2 linked regions of the Xenopus tropicalis genome follow. The protein of the gene in region 1 purifies or fractionates together with the protein of each later gene. This does not show direct contact. Links are inferred from orthologs where the notes say so. Each region holds a gene or a part of one and is shown on either strand. Other genes may lie near its edges.

Evidence for each region.
Region 2: the proteins of vps4a (region 1) and zfyve19 purify together in Homo sapiens (affinity purification with mass spectrometry; 3 studies listed by BioGRID and IntAct, counting the BioPlex papers as one, with this or other methods). This does not show direct contact. The link is inferred for Xenopus tropicalis from reciprocal best matches to the Homo sapiens genes VPS4A and ZFYVE19.

Annotation. Positions count from the first base shown.
Region 1 is NC_030680.2:61,134,908-61,138,736, reverse strand, and holds the end of vps4a (vacuolar protein sorting-associated protein 4A), read left to right. Parts: intron 1-1,666; coding exon 1,667-1,748; intron 1,749-2,046; coding exon 2,047-2,266; intron 2,267-2,347; coding exon 2,348-2,488; intron 2,489-2,566; coding exon 2,567-2,668; 3' UTR 2,669-3,167; downstream 3,168-3,829. UniProt on the Homo sapiens protein: Involved in late steps of the endosomal multivesicular bodies (MVB) pathway. Recognizes membrane-associated ESCRT-III assemblies and catalyzes their disassembly, possibly in combination with membrane fission.
Region 2 is NC_030684.2:115,174,256-115,177,525, forward strand, and holds part of zfyve19 (abscission/NoCut checkpoint regulator), read left to right. Parts: intron 1-534; coding exon 535-654; intron 655-2,482; coding exon 2,483-2,637; intron 2,638-3,270. UniProt on the Homo sapiens protein: Key regulator of abscission step in cytokinesis: part of the cytokinesis checkpoint, a process required to delay abscission to prevent both premature resolution of intercellular chromosome bridges and accumulation of DNA damage.

The sequences.
Region 1 (3,829 bases):
TACAAACCCCAACCTTAGTGGTGTTACTCTTTATCATTTGCTGCTTTAGGGTTGAAAGTTTAGGTGCTGTAGTACAGATTTGACTTTCTCGGTTTTTAGATTTCATCCATATGTTTTTTTGAAGTATATACATTTGAAGCTGATGAAGATAGCAGCAATACTGTTGCAGACTCCTCGTAGCACATCTTATTGCCTGCAATGTTCCCATAGCAGCATTACGTTCCTTACAGCATTCCCAAAGCTCTATTACAAAGCTTCCTTGTTCCCAAAATTGTAGCAAAACACAAAACTATTTATCTAAAGCCAATTATTTCTAAACTTAGGCAGTTTTCTTAAAATGTGTAGCAGGGTGTGATGGTTTTGATATCATCTAAAGGTTGCTTAGCAAGCATCATGTTAATGCTGAACATATACGTTTTGCCCATTTTTTTTTTTTTTTTTTTTTAAATTATGTGATAACTGTGGTTTTTTGTTAAGGTGGCTTTAGTTTCATTTTCAAATTGTGCCGTTTAGAGCAAGAAGTAAATAAGAGAATGGGCAAGATATATGTTCAGCAAAAGCCCTTAGTTATTGAACCAATCCTAAATCAGGGGGTGAAAAAGGTTTAAAACATGCCAATTTTAAAAAAGGGGAAATATATTAAAAAAAAAAGTACTCATAGGCTTCACTTCACTAGGGGGTCAATTAAGCCAAAGGGTGCCTTAAATTATCGCAGTACTAGTTTTGGCTGTATCTTCATTAATGGGTCCCTTAAAGGTGTTGTTAACCTTTAGTATTATGTAGAGTAATATTCTTAGACAGTGCAATTTCAATTGGTCTTCATTTTGAATTATTTGTAGTTTTGTTTAATTATTGCTGGTTTTGTTCAGCAGCTCTTTCGTTTGGAGTTTCAGCAGCTATATTTGGTTGCTAGGATCCAAATTACCTTAGCAACCAGGGTGTGGCTTATCTGAAAGATTGATAAATGAATAGGAATAGGACTTAAATAGAAAAATAAGTACTAAAAAGTAACAATAACAGTTAAACTGTAGTTTCACAAAGCAATAGTTTTTGGCTACTGGGATCAGTGACCTCCATTTGAAAGTCAGAAGAAGAAGCAGATAATTAAAAAAAACTATAACGAATAATAAAGATCAGTTGAAAAGTTGCTTAAAACATACTAAAACTTTTTGAAAATAATGGTGAACCACCCCCAGGTTTTTTCTTTGATCTTCATTCTCTTAAGATGGTGTTCTGTTCTGTGCAGTCTTATTTATATTTGGGTCAGCAGAACAGCTGAAGCTTCAGAGCAACTAACATCAGGTGGCCTGGAAGGAATATTAAGACAAAATTTAAAAATAGTTGGCTGTTCTAAACATTGGCATTTCACATTTATCACATCTGTTGCTGTGAATAGGGATGCTTTCCTTGAAATCCTGGCTTCTATTGCAGCAATTGACCTCTTTAACACCATGCTACAAAGTATAGTATCGTGTGAATTTATAAAGCTGTGCAGCAGAGTGCAAAATTCTGGTATAGTAAAAATAAAAAAGGATGTATAAATAGGGATTATTTATCTAACTACTTTTAGGGTTTTAGACAGCAAGTGCTAGGTTCTACAGTCTGTCAGGTATGCAGGTAATTCATCTATTGTCTGCCAGCTGCTGAGCACCACTTTGTTTTGCAGGTGTTGGTAACAACAATGATGGTATACTTGTTTTGGGAGCCACAAACATACCATGGGTACTAGATTCTGCCATTCGAAGAAGGTAAGGTAGTACTAAATATTTAAAGGAGAGGTATACACAAATGTTATGCAAAATATGCAAAGCATATTTAATAACTTCAAAATAATTAAACATGATTAATGTGGCATAGAATTATATTTGCTTTCATTACACAAAATGTTATATTTAACATAAATATGAGTATGTGTGGATAATAGTACAATGTTGATAATTCGTCAGTAACTTCTCTGTTTCTAATGATGAGAAACAGGCTCATTGTATAAAAAGCAATGCCTATTCTATATCACCATAAACTGAGTTGAATTCTGCTTGGGTTTAGGTTTGAGAAGAGAATATACATCCCTCTACCTGAAGAGGCAGCCCGTGCCCAAATGTTTCGGCTGCACTTGGGAAATACTCCACACAGTTTGGGCGAAGAGAATATACGTGAGCTTGCCAAGAAAACTGACGGTTACTCTGGTGCAGACATTAGTATCATTGTGCGTGATGCTCTTATGCAGCCCGTGCGCAAGGTGCAATCTGCCACACACTTCAAAAAAGTAAGTGAACGCAGAGAAATCCATTAGGGTATTTTTTTTCCCTAGGAAAAATAGTCATTCTACTTCTTTTGCTGTGTAAAGGTCCGTGGTCCCTCACGCACAAATCCAGGGATCATTGTTGATGATCTCTTAACACCTTGCTCTCCTGGAGACCCAGGGGCAGTAGAAATGACTTGGATGGAGGTGCCAAGTGATAAACTACAAGAGCCTGTTGTCTGTATGGTAAGTAATGACTGAACATTACTAAATTAATAAGCAATATTTCCCACCGTGAAATCTAATTCTTATCTTCTTGCACAGTCTGATATGCTAAGGTCTTTGGCTACTACTCGACCAACAGTAAATTCAGATGATCTTCTGAAAGTGAAGAAATTTACAGAAGACTTTGGCCAGGAGGGATGATGTGCAGTACAGTGTGAGGTGGCATGCCTTTTGGACACCTTATGCGCTTGCTTATCTCAAAGTGCCCCCACCAGTTACAACACAAGGATTTGCCGACTCTGGAGATGCCCACCTGTATATACAGGACTCCTAAATTTTCCCCCAGGGTCTTCAAAACCTGGGCACATCCATTTTACCTTCAATATGCTTCTGTTTCTGAAGTTTACATTTATTTGCCATCAGTCACCAGTCTTTTGTGACTCTTTTTTTTTTCTTTCCCTTTTCCCAACCCTAGACCATATGAAACAGAAGAGATCTGCCTGCCTGTTGAATGATACTGACTTTTATTCTAATTGATAATCTGACATTTTGCCACTCCTTATCCTGCAATCCCTTTGGGATTATACAGTGGAGGTGGTTTCCTACTGCCCTTCTGCATCTATCCCTGCCAGTTTCTGCTTTTTTGCATTACTGGGTATATATGTTGAGCTGTGTAAATATATTCTTTCTGAGTGGATAATCTGTCTGGTGCTCATTTGTAAATAGGGTGTATACATGGAACAGATGTCATTGACCCATTTTAAATAAGCATTTTTGTCCTGTCCTCATGCAGGACACACTGCAGCACTATGTATGATGGGTGGCAAGGGTAATGTGATGGGTACTTTCAACTCTATTATTTTATCTTTGTTATTTATTGTCCTTTCTCTGCTGTGGTGATGCTAAACTAGCAATACAGACCAGCTGCACTGACTAATAAAAATACTTTCAGTTGCTCACATCGTGCACATTTAGCTTACACTCCCAAATTAGAAACAGGTCCTAATTATAAATAGCATTTTGTCTTCCATGTAATTCTACTTACATAGAAGGTAAGGTGTAGGAATATTGGTTATGCAACGTCTTATTCTGTTTATTACCTATTTGCTTTTTTTTTTTTTTAAGTTAAACCAACTAGAATGTACAAAGTGCCAAAATATTCTCTATAATAGTGTACAGTAAATTGGAGAGGACAAATACCCAACTTGTTTGTTATTACAGTGTGTTAAGGAACTGAGAATGCAGCCACCCAGCAGCAGAAAAATGATGCTCTTAATAAAAGCATGACCCTTTATCCTCTGCTCTAATTTTCAAGGGGAACACATTAAAGGAGGGACTTTGTTTAAAAGGTAGTCTTCATTT
Region 2 (3,270 bases), on another chromosome or scaffold:
TCAATAGTAAGAAATCCAAGTCCAGCTTGGGACTCCTCCAGTTACATGGGAGTAGGAGAAACAATAGGTTACCTGAAAGCAGTTCTAATGTGTAGCGCTGGCTCCTTCTGAAAGCTCAGACTCAGGCACAATGCACTGAGATGGCGCCTACACACCAATATTACAGCTAAAAAATACATTTGCTGTTACAAGAATAAAATGTTAAATGGTAGAGTGAATTATTTGCTATGTAAACGGTGTAATTTAGAAATAAAAAGTATACTATAAAATTCATGACAGAATCCCATTAATGTAAACCTGTAAATAACAATTTGCCCTTGCAGAGAGACCGCTAAACAAGAAAGATCAGGGAATATTTCACTTGACATTTTTATTGGGCTAGAATCTTGACTGAACTGATTTTCTTTCTGACTGCATTGCTGCACAGTTCTGAACAGAAGGAATTTGGGTGTAACGTGGGGGCAGCCCCTATTAATAATTGTTCGTGTATATACAAACACAAGCAGACTGCTGTTTTTCTGATCTCTGTTGCAGCTCTCAGAGGAAGTTGTTCTAGATGAAGCCAGCGGCTTTAACATCCCCCCTGATCAAAACAGACCAGAAGCCAGCAGCTTAAACATGCCAGTGGGTAATAAACTTCATCTACAAGGAAAGGTATGTGATCAGTAGATATTGACCTAGTGTAAGTGGCATCTGCCATCTCCTTTACCTCTCTCTGTCAGGGTCCCACAAGGCTCTGTTCTAGACCCCTTGTTATTTCCTCTCTATACTTCTTTCCTTGGCAAATGAATAGATTCATATAGTTTCCAGAGCCACCACTATGCTACTCATATCTCTCATATACACTCATATCTCTCCTCTCCTGATCTTAAACCAGAGCTCTTAACTCTGGTCTCTTTCTGCCTGTCTGCTATCTCTACTTGGATTCCCCAAGGCTACCTTAAATTAAACATATCTAAGACAGAAATGGTTATCTTTCCCCAACCCAACACCCATAACATCCCACAAGTGGTTAATAACCCCATTATCCAGTCCATAATGAATACTTCTGCCAGGCTCATACACCTCAGCCAACTCTCCTCCTCTGCCAATCCCTGCACTGGCTTCCGCTGCCATTTAGAACAGTGCTGTCCAACTGGCGGCCCGCGGGCCCCCCACCTGTCTGGCTGCTTTGATGGCTTACTCTTGTGTAAGCTTTAAATGGTATCAGTACTGTGATTAACTGCCCCCCTGCATGGTTATCACCTCAGATTCAGGCTGCAATCAGGCTGTATTGTTTAAATATGTAATTCCCTGTGTTGTTCACACCTTTTAATCTCTGCATTGTTCCCCCCTGCAGTGTTCACACCTCAGGCTCAGGCTGTAATCACCCATATTGTTCCCCTGTTCACACCTCAGGAGCAGTAGAAACCCACAAATACACCCTGCACACTACAAAAAGGACATATACTGAGGTGGTACTGCAATTAAAAAGTTTTTAATATATAGTTATTGTGCAGACTGTAGGAGCAGTGCCAGCATTGTGCCATACACACAGGCATCATAGGGCAAGCAGAGTATTGCACACACAGACAGGGTAGGGAAGGCAGAGTATGGCACACACAGGCAGAGTATGGCACACACAGGCCAAGTATGGCACAAACCAGCCAAGAATGGCAAACACAGTGAAAGTATGGCACACACAGGCAGGGTAGGGAAGGCAGAGTATGGCACGCAGGCAGGGTAGGGAAGGCAGAGTATGGCACACACAGGCAGGGTAGGGAAGGCAGAGTATGGCACACACAGGCAGGGTAGGGAAGGCAGAGTATGGCACACACAGGCAGGGTAGGGAAGGCAGAGTATGGCACACACAGGCAGGGTAGGGAAGGCAGAGTATGGCATACACAGGCAGGGTAGGGAAGGCAGAGTATGGCACACACAGGCAGGGTAGGGAAGGCAGAGTATGGCATACACAGGCAGGGTAGGGAAGGCAGAGTATGGCACACACAGGCAGGGTAGGGAAGGCAGAGTATGGCACACACAGGCAGGGTAGGGCAGGCAGAGTATGGCAGGTTTTTGCTGTACTACAACCATTAATATGGGTATGGCCATGTGATAACATGGGTGTGGTTTCAAGTAGGTGCGGTTTCAAAAAGGGGAGTGGTCAAAACTGGCTTCCATTATCGGCCCTCCACCACGTAGGTCGGAAAAATTCCGGCCCTCGTTACAACAGAAGTTGGACAGCACTGATTTAGAATATCAAATGAACGATCCTCACATTCAGAGCAGTTTGTGTCTCACTATACATCTCTGAACTCTGATCCCCAGATACTCACCGATACTCGCTATGCACCTCTAATAACCTGCTCCTTAGTTCCTCTCTCATTCTACACATATAGCTAAACTAGCAGCTCCCACCATCCTCAGCTTCCAAAGTTCAGCAGTGAAACTGTATAGTTAAATCTAAAAGCTGGTGCCAAGTGTTTCATTTGCCCTTTTCAAGGTCACCACAAAAAGCCAACCTCCAGCTGCAAGAACAACTCCCAGAGAGGCTGACAGTGATGAAGAGGAGCTGCCATGGTGTTGCATTTGTAATGAGGATGCTATTTTGAGGTGTCATGACTGTGATGATGATCTGTACTGCAAGAGATGCTTTAGGTAAGCCTGTTATCCTGATTCATCATGGTATGGTATACTTTCATGCTGTAGTTTTGATTTCCCGTTTATATGTAGCAAAAGGAAATATTTTTAAGTAATATTTTATGTAATTATGGTCATTTTGCTTTGTTGTGTCCTAGCTTCTGTGACGTTGGAGCCCAGCTTGCCACTTGCCACCAGACTTGCATAAACCATTCTTGTTCTTTTCTGGTTGCAGTTTTCCTTCTCATTTCTAGTCCTTCAGAAGTATCATTATTCCTTCATAAGATGCCAATAGGAGGCGTGGGCTAATCATGGGACAGACATCCCATAACTGGGGTCTGTGACCAGCTTAACATGACCAATAGTGAGATTAGTGACAAATAACTGTATCAGGAGTGTCAGCCTAGTTTGTTTACATGCTTTGATTGGAGATACCGTAAAAATAAAATGGTGCTAGCATAGATATTAGCCCATAATAAGCATGTTCAGAGTATACTGTCTTCCTCTAGGCACCTAGTAATGGACTAACATAACAGATTTCCCTGACTTAAGGTGGCCAGAGAGATATCAGTTCTGACCTTTAGGCCCTAGACATGGATACAGGCCGTCTGGTGAGGACCACATTAAAAAGCCGATGTGGTCCTTGATCTG